3 linked regions of the Drosophila melanogaster genome follow. The protein of the gene in region 3 interacts with the protein of the main gene of each other region in a pairwise test. Each region holds a gene or a part of one and is shown on either strand. Other genes may lie near its edges. The genes, in order: BI-1, CG7886 and sosie.

Region 1 (7,038 bases), on a different chromosome or scaffold from region 3:
ATAGAATGGGATAGCTCCACAGCTCGTTCAAAGCTTTTCCGATTTCACAGATCTCGTCGTGCACCTGGCACAGGTTGTTTAGTTTCTCCTCTACCTTAGCGGCATTTCCCAGCTCGCTTTCATGGACCATGTTAGTGGCCAGGGGAGGCGGTGGAGGCTTCCTGCTGGCCGCATCAATTGCTTCACCAAAGGAGTTCATGGAGTGGGCCACTGGTGCTACTTTGTTTTTCCCCGAACCAGACACTGAACTCTTGCCAATGGAACCTATGTCCATACCTCCTAGTTCCTTGTACAGATACTCCAGGTTGCTGTCATACTGAGGCGGCTGGGAGCTGTCCAGAGGAGGCGGAACCTCTTGATTGCCTCGCAGCCACAGCTTATGCTTCTCGTGCGTGTCCACCAGTTCCTCTAGGGTGGCGTTTATGGCCTCGAAGCGTTCTTTCAACGCATATAACGAAACAGCGAACCAGATCTTGTCTAGCGTGTTGATGAACGTGGGAATGGCGGACACTATCCATAACAAGGACATCCATTGACTATAGTCCACCAGCTTGACATAGGTGCTCACCAAAATGGACAACTCAAAGATGACCGTCATGATCAGCATAATTCGTATGCGCCGTCCAATTGTACTGTTGTCCATAACACACCCCTCTTTGTAAAGGCGCTCATCCACCAGACGGATGCGCTCGTAAAGCTCTCCAATTCTACCCTGGTTTCGTAACGCGGTCAACTGGTCGGAGACCATCATAATCAGACCGATATAGGTCAGGAACAAGCCAATCACGAAAGTCAAGGTGCCTGGGAAGAATGAATAACATGGTTATGAGTTTGCACCTTTCAAGGCGGATGGTTAACTGACTCTGCGAGGCCTTTAGGCTGCGGTCCTCCTCTCCAAAGGAATATATCAAAATATTATAGAGCACAACGTAGAGTATTAAAGTACTCAGCATGTAAATCATGCCATTACGGGATTTCTCCAGCAGATTCCTAGATCGAAACTTCTCGAGATCCTGTGGCAGAATTCCAGCTATCTTGGATATGAAGAACAGTTGCTGGAACTGCTGCAATAGTGGTTGCACTGCGTCCTCCGCCTGCGCCATGTTGTCCATTGAACACTACAGCTTTGAATAACCGATTCCCACTAACATCAAGTTATTACCTGCAGAGTGCACTTAGCCTAATTAATTGACCCCTCCGCCCCTAATCGATACTATCAACATGGTCTATCTACTGCGCCATGTTTGGGACAAGAAACGCGGATGAGCTTACTTCTTGTGGTGTTTATTAAATGGAAAAATTTCATGGGTTTTATATTGGATATATATGTCTGTAAATTTAAAGCCAAATGTACACGGCATTATTAATATTCAATGCGAATAATTTTCTAGAATGAGAAATCTGCCTCCAAAATCCGTGTCAGATGTTTTTCTTGTGGTGGCTGTTACACATAAAAGTTTATTTAGTTTTGTTCTGGCGGCGTTCATTCTGTTTTCGCTCCTCCTGCAAATAATTAAGAGCATTACTGGTATTGCCTTTAAACGGTGCAAAAGCAAAGGACATAAATATAATTTCACAAACAGCTAGAGAACTTTGCAAAAAGTTTCATTGGCAGTTTTTGGAAATAAATATACTTCCCACAAGTGGTTTATATAGACCTAAGGATCCTAGCCTGACTGTGAAAGTACACTTATTGCCTTGGCTGCAGGAAATACCGTTTAAAATGGTTTTTCACATCGAATTTTATACTGGAAGCTTTTGCAAAGTGATCAGCATGTTTTCGAGGATAATCTGATTGAGCTATTTTGGGCAACTGGCTCCGGCTTGAGCTATCTTAAACCATGAAGGTCTTGAGCTGGGTAAGGGGGCTATATAACAACTGATCGTTGGGATAAACCCTTGTCGCGGAAACATACCTTTTGCGTCAGTATAATCAGCAAACGGCGGAACATGCTGAGTACATCGAAGAACAAATCTAAAGCGTGCTGCACCACATCTCGATTTCCGTTTCGGCACTTCTCCACAATGTTCTGTGTATCGTAGACGATGAAGGCAGCCATAACGAAAACGCCGACGTAAAGTTGAGTCTATAAGGAAAATAAGAATTTGTTAAGTATTACAATTATGAAATATTCAGTTTTCAATGCCTTGGAATGGAAATTAGAAATTAGATTTAGAGGATACAAATTAATACGCAAATTAATGGGCACTCACCACTTGCACGAAGTAGGACTTGAAGACCATGTTAAAGAGACTCAGCAGCGCCATGGTGTTGATGACGCTAACCAGCATCCCACCCAGATAGAGGTACTTGCCCTGCTCGGCCAGAAGGGCGGACAAGGAGAGCGAGATGAAGGTGACGAAGGTGCCCGTAAGGGCAGACAGGATTATTGCCGGATTTATGCTGCATATATAGCCGAGGAGCGGTCCGAGCGTCTGGCCGGAGCAGAATCCGAAGGCGTAGAGCATGCCCAAACGTGTATAATAGTTCTTGCCGTCATCCTTGTAGAAGTGCAGACCCAAGACCAGGACTAGAGTGGCCACCGCCGCCAGGACTCCAAGATCGAGAAAGTCACGCATCTGAAGCATGGCTCCCATGGCCGTGGCAGCGGCAGTGCTGCCCAGGACCATGTAAACCTTAGACAGGTGCTCGCGCACATAGGGCTCACTGAAGGAAATAAAAGGAGGACTATTAGTTTCAAGGTCCATCGATCCGATGGACAACTGTTGATGTGGTTGGATACCAAAACAACACGTCAGTGCAACGCACTTGGACCCCAACCTCTAAGGGGGTGACCCATCGGCATGTAATACTTACTAACGGTCACCGAGCCCGTTCATGAAGGTCTGGAAACGGTCGTTGATGTAATTCGCAGTATCTGCCATTGTAGTCTTTTTCGCACTTGCTCTTGCTAGTTTCCAGTAATATTACACATAAGTTTGTCAAACGGAGGAGTGAATTAGAACTGTTTGCACTGATGTTTTAAAACTGACTGTTTACTTTGTAAGGCCTACTCGGCTCTATTTTCTTGCCTTTTCTTTCTGTATTTCACGAAATCTGTTTTATCAGCTTTTAGTGTTGGATAAGTTGCTATAGGTTAGTGCTGACGACGTGGTCTTTTTACAGCTACATTTAGATTTGAACTTTATGCTCGTATTCATTATTAAACTCACCGTATACACATAAATACTTGTACAACATACTATAAATTAAGTTTAACATATAATCCTGTTAATTGAATAAATAAATAATACTCCAGTTCAATTTTGTATAAATCTTTTGGATTTTATACCAGCCTTTTTTTTTTCAAAACTAGAACACCGTCAGCACTGTTGATAAGGTGGTGTTTTCGACAATTGCCCACCTGAGTCAGTGTTGGGTAAACGGACATTTTTCGAACTTCCAGATGATTCTATGACGTGTTTTTCGGTTGCGCGCGCTGCCTACTTTCCATTTGAAAAGCAACGAAGTTCGAAACGACTAGTAAATGTTTTTTTTATTTCGCGCTAGATCCAAAAACAAGGTAATTGGCGTATTTTCTAAAAACATTGTACATGGTAAATAATAAACTATGGCAAATTGGGCGACTAGGTGCTGTTACTTGTCCATAAAACAAGAAAACTCTAAAAATTCTATAGTGTATATATAGGGTCCCAGAAGAATGGGACAACATTACCTGCTTTGGCATGACTTAACAGACAGTAATGGTTTGTATAAATTCATATGTAGTTTGTTTCATCGAGATCACAATCACAGTATAAATTGTACAAGACATCGTTAAGCTCATAATACTCTTAACACCTCTAGGCTCTCGCTCTGCGGAGAGTTACAGGTACTTTTCAAATCGTAGACTTGATTTAACAAGGTGTAATTGCAATTCGGGATTAGTGGGACATGATCTTAGTCGAGTATCGTTTACAAAATGTATATACAAATTAAAAGTAAAGCTAGAATTTAAAAAAGTAAAATGTAGATGATACAATTGGAGGCCTAAGTTGTGTAAAATGAGCCGCGAGTAGTACAGTATCTCGGGGGGAACTGAATGACTTTGTTCTTTTCTTGGAACCTATGTTAGGAACTACATCAGCTTGTAACGTTAGTATAGTTAACTACGATAAATGCGATTGGGACGTTTCTCTTTTAGAGTAATTTAGTCTAAAAATCATGGTATTTGGGCTAAAAGCACACACTCGACTTATTCTATACAAACATATGGTTTTCTCCATCCGTTTATGCGGATGGATTCAGTCGGCATTTGAATGCTACAAAAATTCACTCACACTCAGTCTCAAGCACACAATTATGATCGACTTAAGTTTAATTGTTAAATAAAAACAAGATTAAACAAATGCGTGGAGAATGTTTACAACAAAAGATCGCGAAATATTTGAAAATACATTAGGGATAACGATTTTCGGCCTCAGTCGGCAAAATGATTTTGTTAATATAACAATTTCCATATTAATTGCACGCACAAGTGCAATAATTTTGTAATTTTTACATACAATTTTGTTGTACAATTATAAAGTCATTAACTAATAAGATGTTTTTTTTTTTATATAATAAGAGTACAAGAAGACACACAATACAAGACAGTTTTGGTAAAGGTTTTTTCTGGAACAATTCTTTTTTTCATACGTTTATGTTTTATTAAATAAACCGAAATTTTAGAGTACAATAATATTGAAATTCTGCTGCGAAGACGGCGGTGCAGGAATGCTAGTTGTTTGTTGTTTGATGATCCAGTGCGCATCAGTGTCTATAATGTCCCACGCTGACTGTCCCCTTGGCTTCTCCATCGATCCTCCTGCTACTGCTGCTGACTTCGGTCTGCCGGTCTTGATGTTGCCAGGATTCTGTGATGTGAAGTTGGATGGATCCAGAGGCAGTCCCCGTCCGTCGTTGGTAAAATCTTGTCAGCATTTCGGCTTATTATAGTATGTCTAGAAGAACTATGCTGTTTGCCATATTCATATCCTACGTATTGGTAATGTTAGATACAAATCGAAAATCTGTTAATTGTGGCTAGCTTGTCATCCCACCAAGCTGCGGCTTATTGTTTGTTAATAGAGTGTGTTTAGTATATCTGTGTTGCATCTTTACACTTGATTACGGGTCCACTGGCGATGGTTCCAACTTCCACTTACGGCAGTCAATGCCGGGAACGGTGCTCCTCACGCCTGTCGCGATCACGCTCCCGCTCGCGGTCGCGGTCTCGATCGCGGTCGCGTCGCTCACGGTCCGAGGAGCGGTACCTTTCCCGATCCTCGTAGTAGCGCTTCGATGATGGCGCCTCCGCTGCTTCGGCGACTACGGGTTCCGGCGACTTTCGTGGACGCACCGATCGGCTGTTTTCGGATTATGGGATTGAAATTAACGCAAGGTTTTCATTTCGAGCTTAAAAATAATTCGCTTAATTGTCACCGTATATTGTTGCACAAAAGAGCAAAAATATTCTGATGAGCCTAAACAGTTACAATTCAAGCTAACATCTTTACAGAAAGCTTTTAATGAAAATAAAAAATTTGAAAAGCCTATACCTTAAAAATACTACCTTTTAATAAATTATACATTTTTCCAAATATTTTAAAATAAAGTTTCGTCTGACTTTACAAATCTACACTTGTTTTTACAGCAAAAGTAAAAAATCTGTTTACGAGTGAATAAATTATGAGTTCTATGCTATTTAAATGAAGCACTATGATTAATTAATCAGCAACTTTTAAATGAGACAGTGAAGCGAATTTTTAGAAGTAGAACGTCTTTACCTGTCATCCCTGTAGTGATCTGGAGCCTGGCGTTCACGTTCTCTACTGCGAGACCTCTCTCTGTAGCTTCTAGAAAATGAATACGGAATTAAGTGTGAGGCTTACACATGGTAGAACCAAAACTTACCCGCCATCCCGTTCACGCTCACGATCCCGATCGCGTTCCCGCTCCCGAGATCGCTCGCGGTACCTGGACGTGGAACGCTCACGTCGCTGTCGGCTGCGATGAGATCGCTCCCTCGACCGCGACCTTTCGCGCCTATTGTAGCTCTTGGCCTCGATGCCATGCAACGTGTCCTGCAGCGAGCTAATCAGAATTTTGCATCGCTCATCGTGCGCTACCTTGGACTGTTTGATCAGTGAAATGGCTGTGACCAGTGTCTCGATGGCGCTCGAGTATTCACCAGCGGCTGCATCAGAAACAGCTCTGAAAATAAATTAGCATAAAAAGGGAATTGATATTTGATCAACAAAGTAATTAATTATCTAGATAATTTATTAATTAGACCGGATCTGAGTCATAGTTTCAATAATTGGAATTTTCTATGAATTCGACTTAGGAATGGGTTAGTTTTTAAATAATAACTACAAGTTTTGACCTCGTTAAAGAAAACATTTTAAAAACCTTTGCACTCACCTGGCGATCGCCGAACTGCTGACTGTGCGATTTCTGCTCATCACCTCCTCGAACTCCACCTCCGTCAGTTGCGGACCCATCTGCTGCGGATCGGGGAAGGGACCTGGTGGCTTACCCTGCGGTGGCGGCCACGGACCACGTGGTCCATGCTGGGCGAACTGGGGTGGCGGTCCATGCTGTGGCGTCATGTTCATGCCCTGTTGCGGTGGCATATTCATGCCTGGCTGTGGACCTGGTGCTCCGTGGGGCGGGCCACCCATGCCCGGATGCTGGGCAGGACCACCAGGCTGGTTAAAGAATGCTGGGTTCACGTGGGGTGCGGGTGCGCCGTGTGGTCCGCCCGGACCTGGTGCTGGGGGAAGGCCACGTGGCGGACCTTGCGGCGGGAAACCACCGTGCATGGGTGGACGACGCCAGTCGGGACCTGCCGGACCCCTGACGGGCATGCCCATTGGGCCTCCTTGGAACTGCAAGGCAGAAGAGACAAGATTATTTACTGTTCCCAATGATCGGATCGAATCGGTTTCTAAGCTATAGTATGAGTTTGTGTTGCATGGGTTGATCTGTGGAATTACTGAAAATGTTCTGAATACATCGCTTAAGACTAAGTTAACTAAGGTTAACTTAAGTTG
Region 2 (7,038 bases), about 10 Mb from region 3:
ACTAATTGTACTGTTTTCCGTTAAAGTGGAATTGGCAACCACTGTCTGGTGGCCAGCTGCAAGCAGCCCACGCTTAGTATGGCAGCGCACTGCGAGCGTCACATCGTGAACAACAGCACCCAGCAGCTTTTCCAGCCTTGCGTCGCCTGGCGGATGGATGGAACCGCTTGCCAGGCTCCTGTCTTCGATGTGCTGCACACATTGGCGCTCTGCAAGGTGCACAGCCACCTGCGTTCTGGTATGGATGGAGCCCGTCCAGCATCGAAACAGCCGCCCGTTAGTTTACCAGTCGCTGGAGTGGCGACTCTTTATGTGCCTGTGAAGCAGCAGCGAAAGCGCAAGGCTAATACGAATGCCGTGGCTCGTCCTCAGAAACGTGGTAGGAAGCCGGCGAATGAACCGATTGCTAACCAGATCAGCAGCCAGATAAACAAACTGATACCTGGGGCAGGAATGCAGCGTAAAAGCAGCACCACATCGCTTGAGTCCATTGCCAGTAATTCGCAATCGTCGGCCACCTCACACTCACAGCCGCCTTACAAGCCCGGAAATGTGTTGGCCGCTGTACCTGCAGCACAGAACTTGTCCCAACGGTCCATTCCTCCAGCGCTGGCTCCGCTCAGCAGTGATTTTCAACCCAACCATCAGCAGCAGGAACCGCTTTTGGTTCCCAAGTTGGAGGTGGATTCATTGTTTAAATTTGATGCCGATCAACAGCAAAATCAGCAGCAGCAATCGACTTTGGACCCCAGCTTACTTTCTTTGGACATTGCGAATATCAAGGCCGAGGAGATTAGCCAAATTGTAGCACAATTGGCGGCGGCCGGTGGTGATTTACAAAATCCCAACAATAATAATAACAACAACATAGGAATCCATAATAACAATAGCGTGCACTTCAACAACAACAACAACAATAGTATGAACTACAGCAACAATAACAATAACAGTTTCCCCTCATTCAACACGGCCTTTGGCAACGCCATGGGCCAGCCAAGCAACACAATTACGCACAATGGCCACGCTGTTCCGGCAGTGCTGGCCAATACGGCCGATCTTCTTGGCCAGGACATGTTTGGTATTTGCGAGAACAGCTCGGCATACGCCAGTTCCGAGGATACCGGATTGGGCGGTCTCAGCGAGTCGGAGCTGATAGGCACTAACGATGCTGGTAAGTTTCAAAACGGTGAAACTTTTATGACTTCCATATAATAGCTATGTATATATAGAAGGAAGCTGGACAAATTCCCTAAGATTTTTTCAGTATTTTGACACGTTATTTCTCTCTTCCAGATGATATAGCATTGAATGGCGCCCACTTGCTGGAGGAGCACGATCTGGTAAATGTGTTCGACACGCTGTCAGACGATGCCTTCAACGAGCTGTTCCAATCCGGTGTGTATTTAACCACAATTTTACTTGTTCAGCTTTTCATTGTACTAATCCATGTGTGCCTTCGCTGCCAACGCCACCGCCATCGCCTTGGACCTGTGCCTATGCAGTGCAACAAGCCGAGTGCGAGGCTATGGACCGGGCTTTGGACCGGGCCTTACAGCAGACAATGGGCGGCTCGGCGGACAGCGCCTTTCTTAACGATTTCCTGGACGTCGGCGACGATCTGCTGGCCGATGCTGTGATGCACTCACCAAACACGTCCGGCATCGATGCTCCTCCCCTCTTTGGGGACAGCAGCAGCGGCGGTGGCAATAGCAGCAGCAACGGCGCCTCCGACATCCGGGGCTTGGTGCAGACCTAATTCCGGCATCAGGTCGGATTTATGGCCTACAGAATTTACAGATTCATTTAGAGAGACAGAGAGAGAGATTTTCAAGCTTGATTTCCCATTCACTTTTAGGCAGTTTTCGCTTAGAATTTCGGTATTTTCTTTTTGGCCATTTCTTACCTGCGATTCTAGTTTGGCACAATGTTTCTATATGCAGCTTCAATGTTATGCATGCATTCACCAGCAGATATGCATGAATAAAATAGCATTCAAAAACCATATAGTTATGCGTTAATGTGAAAAACAAAAAAAAAAACACACACAAAAAGTAAAAAATTTGAAAAAATGTCCAAAAATATTAAATTCAACTTTAAATCAACATTAAGAATGAAATGTATATGTATCCGTACGCAAAAACATAATATTGTAAATTCGCGGAGAGGTGTAGCTTTACGTACATCTTAACGTAACTTAATTTGTTAGTGAACCAACAAAAGGATTGTAGAGATCAGCTTTATTATACATATAAACGAGAAATTATAAAACAATACCAGAGCAAACAGATAAAATGAAACCGAAATTGTAGGAAATCTAGCAACAAATTTTGAATTCTGAATTAAAGTTACGAACGCGATACATTGGAAAGTTCGTTAACATAAACAAGCCTAAAATTTGTTTAAAAATTTTGTGAACGCATTTACAACAACAACCACAACACCATACACTCAAATGAGAATTGCAAGAACTACGAAAACAAAACAGGTGAAGCTGAAATTGTTTAGTTTGATTTTAGTTCTTGGTTTGCACCTAATACACATACACATACACACCCACACCTAAACACCAACACACATACATACAACGTACAAGGGACTAGTTTGAAACCGCGAATCGTATTACTAAATATATATACAACTATATATACTTATATATATAAAATATAGCTATATATACATAATACCACTTAATATATCTGTACACATACTTTTAAGTGTAAGCTTTAATTTAAACCAACCCACAAACAAAGAAAAGAAAACCCTATAACAAAAAAAAATTAACAGATTGTAAAAGTGTATACTTGATTTATTTTTAAGCTCTTTTATTTAGCCATTGCTCGATGGCCACAAACTTTGTTCGATTTTAATTAAGCCTAACAAATTTTAAAAGCAAAATTAGGCTGACCGACAATTTTTGAGTTTTAGCATGCGTTTGTCTATTCTAGATTATGTAAATTAACAAATATTATATAGAACATAAATGAATTGTAATTTTCTTTAGTCTAGTGACAAGCAGCAACTTATAAATCGAGATATATTTATACAACAATACACAAAACAAGCAAGAAAACTGTTACGCTTTAAAATACGATATATACCGCTCACTGGAGACCGATCCCCAAATCACAGCCCTCAAGAAAACAAAACAAAAAAATTCACACCCAAACCATTCCATCTCCATCCATTGTAAGTTTTCTCATTTCTCATCTGTCACGCGGAGTCTAAGCAAGTATTAAATGAATGAAAAACGTTTAATTACACTAGATAACTATGTATTTGTATATGTATCACGCATCGAATTTTCATTACGTTAATGCACCACCCATGGCACACTCAAACACTTGCATCTTTCATAGGAACTTTCGTTTGGGCATAGCGAAACGATAGAGCAGAAGGAACTACTTTAAAGATAATGGAACTCTGTAAAATATGATATATAATAATTCCCCCACACTCTCACTCTCTATCTCTAAAACCCTATATAGATATATTATATAAACGTATGAATTCGTTCTTGAGTTAGTTGATTACCGATTACCGGGTTCACTTGATTACCGATTGAGTTGGCCCGCACTTTACTCTGATCTACTTCGCTGTGCAAGTGACGCGAACAAAATTAATGTCCTTTTTGTAGCGAAACTACAAAACCATGTATTTGATTATATGCTTTAAACCCTATTTTTATAACACTTTAATTTGTAAGAACTGTAGCGATGAACCTACAACCCCGCATCCCTCCAGTAGCCGCCTCTTTTTCACCATTTGAAGTTTTGTCTGTTTTCGGTATGAGGTACAATTTCATTTTGTAATTTACGTGCATTTTTGTGATCTAATTTGTGTAACTATTATAAACGAAAAAAAAAAGAAATACAAAATACTTTAAGAAAACGAAGCAAAAAAAAAAAAAAATAAAACAAATCAAAGCAAATGAAAAAAAGAATTGATTGATTTTATGGCAACAGAATATTTTACCCTGAAAATATAATACAGTATTTTTAGTAAAAAAAAAAAACCAAAGCATCCTGGCTTGTCATTGATCAATGGGAAATCGGTATGGGGAACTGATGGCTGGGTATCGGGAATGGGAATCTCGGCAGGCGGTGACCAGATTTTCATAGACTCACATTCGTTTAACAACATAATTTTCTCCTAGGAAACAGTTAGTTTGCCTTGACACATACTCCGAGTAACTCCCGAAAACAAAATACAAAAAACATCAGCAGAACCGCCGAATTAAGAAACCCGCTAATCCTTCCCAGGATTCTTTCAGTGCGTTTCGTCGAGTTGTGGTCGAGGATTCAAATTCAAAGGTTATATTGAAAATTATTATTTTCTATTTTGTTTTCCTTGCTCGACCACCAACCCAATCGCATCTAATCGCAAGGAGCATTCAGTCCAGTGCAAAAGAGACAAAAACTGACCAGATCTGGTCCGGATTATCCCCGTTTTGCTAAGGTGAGTGAGTGCCATGTGGCGGCATTTCCTACTCTGGGTTGTCCGTATGCAGCGATTATTACATCATATCCTAGCAGGCGTGTCGTTTGCTGTCGGTTGTAATGCATACAAATGCCTATCTGAGCTGCCGTCTCCCCGATTAGTCACTTTTTTTGTACGTTTGTAAGCTGCCGCCAGTTTTCAGAGTGGCGCCACGGGGATACGTGGAATAGCGTGGTAAGTGGGCGCCACATGCTCCACCATCGACCCCACTAACCGACTCCTCACCACCAGTTGTGCTCTACGTATATTTTTATATCATCATTGCGGAACCACAAAGCTCTCGACTACTTTCTAACTGAGGAACTGAATCAAAGGTGAGTTCAATTCAGCATATTCTGTATATTTGCGCTATGACTCTTTCCCGCATAAATTGATTTAAATAATATGTAGTTATCACCGACAATTATTACTTTATTTGCTAATACAATTTCCTTAATTTGTACGAATGCGTATGTCGTAGGACATAGCAGGACTAAAACTGTGTTTTAAGCTTCGATATATTTACATGGTCCCTACAAGCTGAACTTAAGCTATCCTTAATCCAAGTGCCATAAATAAGAGGGGGGGGGGACTGTTTGGTGCTATAACTCCGTGGTCTCCAGTTTTCGGGCCAGGATCTGAGCATTGTTGGTCATTTTGTCGATTTGGTTGTATAGATTAAAGTGCCGATTAAGATCATTGCTGTTGTTGAATAGTTTGGCAGTTCCCTTGAGCGTTTCGTGCATATCCTGTGTGGCCACGGCCAGAAAGTTATCATCCAAAGAGTCATGGCCACCAATACTATGGAGAAATAAGTGTTATATATTTAAGTAAGGGACGATTTAGTGATTTCCTCTATTATCGCACCTGCCACTTTCTTCTGATTTGAACCACTCGTTGTCGTAACCCTTTAGCCAAATAGGATTTGATCCTTGGACACTGTGCTTGTTGGTATTTGGCACTCGAGTGGCCGGCTCCTGAGCGTCTTGCAGGGACATCGAGGAGTGACCACCTAAATGGAATTTGTGTATTAAATATATTAATTTATCTTTTATCCTAATCGTTACTTACGGAATATATTGACTTTAGCGGCTCTCAGCTGCCTGCGGTATCCATTCCGTTGAGAGGCGCAAAGTGCTATAGTGACTACCAGTAGAGTGGCCAGAAAGAGGTTGGTGAAAATCAGCCACACGAATAAAGGACCTCGGCTGGGTCCCGCGGTCAGGAGCTGAGCCTCTGCCGCCTGCGTGTCCAGCACGTTGAGCTCTTTAAATAGCCCATTCAGGCTTTCGATGTGCGAGTCAATCAGTTTGAGCACCTCGGATACCTCGTAGATTGAGTTATCCTCCCGCTCGACTAGATGCATGTACAGATCCGTCTTTGTCTTGTCCACCGAACCATCCTTGTTCTCATGAACCTTAATCTCATCAATGTTTACAATCGATTCTGTTATGTTGCTCAGGGTGCTAAGGTATGGAAATAACATTAGAAGGGGGGTTATACTTTAAAATCAACTCAATATTTACTCTCTGAAGGAGTCCACTCGAGATCGCAGTTCGTCCGGCTGAAGTCTAAACACGAATCGCACCTTTTGGTCCTCTCTTAACAAGTAGATAAACACATGGGCCACATCCTTCATTCCTGAGGTGTCGTTGGCCAAAACGACGAAATCGAAATAGCCCTTCATTCCCTTTTGTGGGTCAAAGTTTAGCTGCACTTCTCCGGTTTCCTGATCGAGAAGGAAGGGAGCTTTGCGTACGTTCTCCAATCCCTCGGAAAGAGTCTGTCGGATTTCACCCACTTGGTAGTATCCAATCCTTCCATTATCTCCTTCATCTGCATCCGTAGCCTCCACTCGCATGAATTTTAAACCGAAATCAGCATTGGTCGTTATACCACCAGTAAAGATTTTAGAACGGAATCTCGGTGGATTATCGTTGATGTCCAGCACGCGCACCTTTACTTTTATTACAGTGCTATCTAGTTCTGGATGGGTTGTTGCCAATCCTCCGGTTGGATCCTCCTGACTACTGTCATAGGCTTCATACGATAACAGCTCTGCATCTTCTGGTCCGTATTCATTACTCTCTGTCGATCTCAATTGTCGAGAGTGTTTGAAACGATCATATCCAAACTGTTGGTTATGCACAATGCCTCCCAATCTATTGTTAATCTCGATTCCCATACGACGACGTTTTTCGCCACCAGATATAGAATCATTTCTACAATTCTCAGTGGCACGAACATAGAGCGTAAAATTGGCAATCACCTCGCGATCCAGTTCACGGTCAACAGTCAATATATGGGTTTCGGGATCGAGACGAAAGTATCCCGCTTCGTTTCCATTCACTATAAAGTAGCACACCTGGCTGGGCGTATCATTCGGATCGTCCAGTTCCAACTGATCCTTATCTATGGTGTCCGGTAGCTTTATTCTTTCGGATCCTGGATCCGAGTGCTCCGTGAAGTTTACGGATATTTCGTTAACCATAAACTGAGGCTCATAATCGTTAACATTCCGAACATAAATCGTTAGATCCAAGTCTGAACTCAGTGAGGTTG
Region 3 (7,038 bases):
AAAAGTACCGTGTGGTAACCAAGATATATTTCTGTCATTATTGATGGAAAAGTACTATTCGTTTGGGTTTTTAAAGGTTTTTATTAAATAGTATAGATAACAGCTACGAAGAAAACGGTTTTAATGGGTGAAATTCTTATCTGGACCTGCAACTTGGACATGAAAATATTATTAACTTTTATCGTCTCCCATATTTTATTATTATTATTATTATTATTATTCCATTCGATTATGGGCTGTGAGCTCGTAAAGCTATTTATATTGAATACATACAAAAATTAAAAATGTTTCACATTTGTAATTGCGATGTAAGCGATCTGAATTCACAGTGCTGCTGAAAAGTTGCCTATCACTAGATAATTTCTCTCGATTTTTAGTGATTATTCCTGGACACACACGTACACTCATATAAAATTACAATAAAATGGTGCCTAACATTTGATCTAAAGTTACTTCGGTCTGTCTAGTGTAGGGAGTACGGACTAAGTTCGATTGGGGATCTATGGAAAACGTTTATCAGATAATATAATTATGTATATTGTATATAACGCAACTTTTCGTGAGAAGCGAATAAACTTGACGGTGGTACATATGAAACTTATACAATAGAACGACTTTTAGGCTAATGGCGACGAGTATCTAACTTTCTTAATTTCATTTCCACGTATTTTCTCTTATTTTTTTCGCTTTTCAAGATTTACTTTTCGTATTTTTTTATATGTGAGGGGTTAGTGGTAGGGGTAGGATGATCTTTTGTTTCTGTTGGTTTCACTGAGGCACATTTGATGGATCACTGGGGTAGATAAACGCCAAACTACGTCTTCCGGTTCCGCTTTCGACGATCGCCTTCTAGAAATGCTTTCGCATGTGGGCGGATACCAAAAAGGGCGCCAGAAGTGAGCAGATCGAGACCAAGAAGCTGACCAGGCCCTGAAGATTAGCTGAAAGGCAAAGAAGATGGATTAGGAACCATGATACATCCTATTTTTGTGTGTACTATATTTGTAATACTATGACAATAGTTATAATAGTTATGGAATGTATTGGATGAGAAACCTCTCACCTCCACTGCAGATGTCGTGCAGGATGTCCTCCACATATCCGTTGTCGTTGTCGCAGAGACACAGCTTGGTCTTGCTGGACATGAACTTGGCCACTCCGATGGTGCGGTTGCTGTTCTCGTACTGGCACACCATTCCATCCTCGCAGTCGTTGTTGCTGTTGCACTTGTGACGCAGGCCTGCAAAATGCGCAAATATTATTAAGATATTAGCATACCGCCAGTGGAATTAGCTATACTCCATGCTTATAACTAAATTTAAACCGACTCAATACACCGGTATCATTTAGCAGCCATTTTATTATAATAACGCTATTATGCAGACCTATAATAGTCTGGAAATTCTATACTCTGGTGTATTACAATGTATCCCCGCCAGAAAGTAGATCTCCAACACGGAGAACAACTCCCAATGCCAAAAACTGGGGAAACGTGCATGCAAAAATCGCGTATAACATTTCTTCTGGGCTGTGCATGTCACAAATTGGCACTGCGGCGATTCCCATTACCATTTGCCTCTCGTTTGGGGCCTCGTTTGAGTTGCCCCATCGGAGGAGTCACGACATCCTAACATAAATCCGACATCGACATTGCGCCGCCATAAAGCGGTCCACCTCTGGCCCCGCCAAGAACTGGAGTGGAGCTGGAGGAGGGCTGGAGAACTGGGAAACTAGAGGACCCAAGACCAAAGGACCAAAGAACCAAGGGACTGTAGGGCCAACAATGGCGGGCACATGACCCAAGGATGCCGAGAAGGCAAGTGTGAATCGCGCACGGAAAACTAAATAAATAAGCAGGCAAATAGCGAAGAAAGGTGAAAGTGGGCTTTGGGGGTGGCCATTCTGGAAGGATGCTTCTTTGTTTAATTCTCATTTAGGTGGCGCCTTGGACGCATCACCTCACATGCCACTTGAGGCACTGGCTCATCACGGAGGAGGCCTCCAAGAAAGCAGCGGCCTCTTAAATAATAAATGTAATGTGCATGTCTTAGCAATTAGCTGACTTTTTGTTGGCTGTTCTATTTCGGGAAACGAGCTAAAGGATTCTGCAAAGGCGGGCGGTCAAAGGAGCGGAGATACAGAACATTATGATTAATATTTAACATCAATGATTTTTTAATTTTTTTAACATAAATAAATAGTAACTAACTGACTAGTAACTAAAGCATATCAGCCGCGAAAAATTTATTTTTAGGAATGCTGTTTAAGTGTCAGTGGTTTCTCTAGATTACAACTTGTATATTTATATCCTTGGGGAATATGGGTAAGTACTTTTCTATATAGGTGATACATTACCTTTCAGGACATCTGGACAGCTGCCAGCCGAAGGAGGCGAGTCGTCGCCGCATAGGCAACGCAGCTTGTAGTCATTGGGATCCTTGACGCAGCTGGTGCGATCTATCGCCGTGCAATCATCGTGGGCACTGCACTCTCGTCCTTTAACTGCAATTAATGATAGGAATCCAAGTTAAAAAAGGACACTTAACTAGCCAGTTTGCCTAGCTAATTGCCCACTAATTGTGTGATTATTTGGGTACCAACTTGAGCCAACACAAATCACCGCTTGTCCGCCTATCTATATCTACTCTATCCGTTTCGGTTTACCAACTCCAATCACAGGGATATTACCGCCCCCGCTCCTAATGTCAGGGATTCGTGGAGCGTGGGTTGTCATTGCACTTGAGTGACTTGTTTGATCAATTCTCGATTCGATTTGTGTTAGCAATGTTCTGTGTTCTGTGTCGTGTCGTTCAATCTGTGCTGGCTCTGTGCCATAATTATTATTCCATTTATTTATGAGCGACTACCAAGTCAATCGAATGACAAATGATTGGATCAGACAAACTGGATGGTTGGCTATTTGTTTGGCTAACGACCAGGTGTCTTAATTAGCGGTTAATCGAACTTAAGTGATGTGGGGCTTTATCGGGAAGGTCTAAGACAACGTATATATCACATTATAATGAGAGTCAAGTTAAGTGCATTAAAATAGTTAACTTCTAACTCAAAATCAGTTTTTTAAAACAGAAGTTAATGTATCTCTTTGTTTGGTATTTTTCTTAAAGAATAATCTTATATGAATATTGTTATAGTAATAGTAGTCATATTCACTTATCGGCTAATGCTGGAGTACGAGTTATAGCAAAATTACTGCACGATTACTTTTAAACTCGAACCACTTTTAATCCCTCGCCCAATCTTGACAAGAAACTCCTCTTGACCTTGCCAGCGACTTTGATGGGCCTTTTCGTTACCAACCCCGGGGGTTCTCTTACCAATTGGGACGTGCGTGGGAGGCGGCTGATTGTTGGTCTTGCCAAAAGTGGTCAGAGCCGTGGAGCTGACCCCGAAGAGGATGATGAAGATGCCGAAGAGCATGGTCAGACTGCCGCATTGTGTGAAGCGCTTCAGGGGCTGCATTTTGGAATCGGTAACTAATCGAGTTTTGAGTCGAGACCAGGACTTGAAGAAGTCGGAAAGAAGTCCTTTTTCGGGTCTTATATAAATTCCACAGGACCGCAACGGGTTGCACACGCACTTTGCGAGCTTGAAAAACGGCCCAAAGGCTTTAAATTGGTTTACTTAACGCTTTTTTCGTTTCTATGTCGGTTTCGCGGGCACAATTTTATGCAAATTTTCACACCGAAATCGTTTCCGCTCCGCCAGAAAGTCCGAAGCAAAACAAAACCGCACGAGAGGCGTCACTCCAAAAAATCTCCAATACTTTGGGGCACTCGCTATAGTCGCAACTTCCACTTGGGGTCTTCGGACGGGTAGCTCCAACCAGTCGCCTGCGCGCTCGAAATGCAAGTGAAGAATTCGCGGCGCACACGGACCTTAAGTTGCTGCGATGTCGCTGCTGGTGGCTACTTGGCGCTCGCGCACACCGGCGCCACCTTCCACCTCCCACCTGCCACCATCTGCTACCCATCTGAGTGCTCCTCGCCAGCTAGCCACCCACCGCCCCCGCAGTCCGCTCACCTGCTCAGCCAGGCATAGAACCCCTTTGCCACATTGGCGGCGAATGATAGTCGTCTTCCAGATACCCTTATATCATACTTAAGTTCCCACTCAGCAAATCTTCTTTAATACTTTGTATAATAACAATACATAATATACTTGTATTTATTTTAGTAAATTGGAAGTTGAGATACCATATAGTTATGTACTTATGTTACATGTGTAATTTTAACAGAAGTCTATACTCTACAATTGGAAGTGAAGTTCTGGTTTGTTAAAAACAACAGCTTCATATTTCATTCTTAAAAAAATAACTCATAATATATATGGTAAAATATATACAACTGAATATCAAGTTAAACAATACAGGTTTTTATGCGTTATGGGAAACGATTCTGCTGACGCACACAAAAATTGGCAGCAATGAGCTTCCCACAAAATGATAAAACATTAATTTTAGATGTAGGCAACCAAGTATACATACGTCCAACCAATTGCGGCTGAGTAGAAATGAATTCACGCATTCCGGGACATTCCATAAAATCGGATTCCAGAAGGACAGACACCCGCATGCATAATTAAGAGATCCCCCAAGTGGGCAAAGGGTATTCCACCTAACCAATGTTTCGCTGACAAGAAGCTAGATAGCATGGAATCTCCGGGCAGATTTCGAAACTTTCGCAGGCAGTATGGGATTAGTTTTGGGCCGTATGCTATATGGTATATGCTATATGGTGTATGGAAAGTGAGCTGCGACGCACTTGTAACTGTTTCGCTGCTTTTGTGTATTTCGTGAGCGAGTTTTGTTAACGAAGATGGATTTTTGTAGCTGCCTCACCTTCGTGCACCTGTTTTTATTGTAGCCGCTGGCGGTGGCGACCTCGTCCTTTTCTCCTCGTCCTCGTCTTGGGTGTGTGTGTGTGGCAGTGGGTGTGTGTGTGGGAACTATAATAATGACGAAGGCATTAGAGGCATACGACCATTGCATAGCCTACTTTTTGGGGCCCACGGAGTTGAGCAACAGCCACAACAACAATAAAGTGTAACATTAGCACGCACCAGGCGAAACAACAACAGAAACTGGTTAGTCAAAGGCAAATAGTTATTTTGGCCATTATTCTTTGCTCGCTCCCTAATTTCTCCTGCCGTTGTTTATGATTATTTTTTCCCCCTTTTTTTACTTTTGGGCGCTGCATGGCCCTAATTACATTTGCTAAATTGCCCAGATGAGAGTGGCTTGCTTGTTGCTTTCAACTTTTAACTTTTTTAACTTTCAGCTGCAGAATGCAGCTAAGCTGTCCAAAAAAGAAAGGTGACTGGCCACGCCCCTTTAGCCCAATTTGGCAAGGCACCATTTAGGCGGATATCGAACAGGCAGAAACGGATGCCCAACTTTTGGCCATGTCTGCTTCAATCGTCTAAATATACGAAGCTCCACTTTTCAAACTGAGCCAATAATTTACACCCACCCATTCGAAGAGGAACACTTTGAGGTCAGTTGGGACATGAAGAACTCGCCCAATTTGCCAAACACAAATTCCTTTGCACTTCATGTACTTTCGACCCTCTTCCGACTCCGATTGTGGAAAATGTCAGGCTATATGGGTCCTGGTGCTCCTTATCTGCCTTCTCGATCGCCTTATAAACGATTGCTTTAATCGCTGCGACAGCATAAACAATTTTCTCCAACTAAATGCGAATTTATATCGCACACGCACAGCGAACGGAAAGGAAGTCCAGAAAATATATTCACGAAAATCGGTGGATATAACTAAATGGGACACGAATCTGGTCGGGTTCAAGGACCGTGGAAAGCATTAAGCCAATTTTGGAAAATATATTTCAGATATCCTAATATCTCTGTTTGCTTAACTTATATTAGAAAATTTTTATGATTTTCTTCAAAAATTGTAAAAGGTAAAAAAATTATTTTGAGCGATATTGAAGAGATTTATAAGACACGTGGGTCATTTTAAAGAATTGGATGTACTTAAAATTATTTAAATAAGTTAAAAGGCACTAATTATATTGGATTTCGTAATTGTTTTTCTAGATTTGCCGACTTGACAATGATTTATTCCATAGTACTTTCTCCATTTACGCAAATCCCGCCGCACCGCGTCATTCGGAATGGAAAATATTTATATTTACATGTAAAAATAAGTTCCTTTAATTATTATTCAGCCAGTCCAGTCCATTCAATTCGCCATGCGGCAGAGTCTGAAATTTATTTCGGATATTTATTTCTTGACATTATTGATAAATGTTGCCGGGCACAGCAGAGAAACGGAAAACAAGCAGGAAAATTATATGGAAAACTCACGAAATCTTTTCGCCAAATCAGAAACTGCAGCGAATCGTAGGCGCCGCCAGTGGGTTTTCCCCCTCCCCTCTCCAAGGAAAATGCGAAAGACCACCGTAATTAAAGAACTAATTCGCTTTCAACAATTTGGGCGTCATGTTTTTGCTCTTAACTGATGATTAATTAGTGCGACTGTAGAATTTCTACCAGCGATATATAATTTTCTCACGAAATCTCATCGAGCTGTACACTCATGCCCAGAGGTCATCATATTACTGCTGATTATAACTCAGAGTGCGGAGCATTAGGCCCTCGAAAAAATGCCAATTTAAGGGACTTAATTCCACATTATGGCCACGTCTAATTGCGGCTACACACACACACTCACTTACCTCACTCACTGCATGCAAGTTTGTTTTCGTGCGTTCCAGGACATGCACACACCACATGGCTTAGTCCTTAAAGGACTGCCAGCTCCTGCCCCCGAATGTTGCATGCGCCGCAAGGCGAGCTCTTCGATAGCCGCTGTTACTTGTTTTAGCCTTGTCTGTTGGCCAAGTCTTGACCAAATAACCTTTCCATGACTTTCCCAATTTATCACTCGACACATTGCCACATTGCCACATTGCCAGCTAGCTGAATGCAGCTAAATGCATGCTAAATATATGGGTGGCCAGTCGTATAACGATTATTTCAAGTTCATTTGTTAATGCACA

What was found.
Region 1: the proteins of sosie (region 3) and BI-1 interact in a two-hybrid assay, tested with the Drosophila melanogaster proteins (one large-scale study listed by BioGRID).
Region 2: the proteins of sosie (region 3) and CG7886 interact in a two-hybrid assay, tested with the Drosophila melanogaster proteins (one large-scale study listed by BioGRID).

Annotation. Positions count from the first base shown.
Region 1 is NT_037436.4:8,305,878-8,312,915, forward strand, and holds BI-1 (Bax Inhibitor-1), read right to left. Parts: upstream 3,065-7,038; 5' UTR 2,887-3,064; coding exon 2,819-2,886; intron 2,669-2,818; coding exon 2,215-2,668; intron 2,088-2,214; coding exon 1,917-2,087; intron 1,856-1,916; coding exon of another isoform or gene 1,835-1,855; exon of another isoform or gene 1,716-1,834; intron 1,504-1,715; coding exon 1,459-1,503; 3' UTR 1,268-1,458; downstream 1-1,267. Other genes in the region: Gr66a (gustatory receptor 66a), read right to left, coding at 1-801, 863-1,103; Cpsf6 (cleavage and polyadenylation specific factor 6), read right to left, coding at 5,154-5,349, 5,770-5,838, 5,897-6,196, 6,407-6,873. UniProt on the Drosophila melanogaster protein: Suppressor of apoptosis. Modulates unfolded protein response signaling. Negatively regulates autophagy and autophagosome formation, especially during periods of nutrient deprivation, and reduces cell survival during starvation.
Region 2 is NT_033777.3:14,639,653-14,646,690, reverse strand, and holds the start of CG7886 (uncharacterized protein), read left to right. Parts: upstream 1-4,127; 5' UTR 4,128-4,455; intron 4,456-4,532; 5' UTR 4,533-4,671; intron 4,672-4,728; 5' UTR 4,729-4,811; intron 4,812-4,914; exon of another isoform or gene 4,915-5,078; coding exon of another isoform or gene 5,079-5,277; intron 5,278-5,343; coding exon of another isoform or gene 5,344-5,488; intron 5,489-5,547; coding exon of another isoform or gene 5,548-5,942; intron 5,943-6,002; coding exon of another isoform or gene 6,003-7,038. Other genes in the region: l(3)L1231 (lethal (3) L1231), read left to right, coding at 27-1,171, 1,294-1,395, 1,503-1,756; Cad88C (cadherin 88C), read right to left, coding at 5,079-5,277, 5,344-5,488, 5,548-5,942, 6,003-7,038. UniProt on the Drosophila melanogaster protein: May play a role in cilium biogenesis.
Region 3 is NT_033777.3:24,833,515-24,840,552, reverse strand, and holds sosie (sosie), read right to left. Parts: upstream 3,873-7,038; 5' UTR 3,481-3,872; coding exon 3,336-3,480; intron 2,503-3,335; coding exon 2,356-2,502; intron 1,241-2,355; coding exon 1,064-1,240; intron 942-1,063; coding exon 850-941; 3' UTR 65-849; downstream 1-64. Other genes in the region: CG33658 (uncharacterized protein), read left to right, coding at 1-44.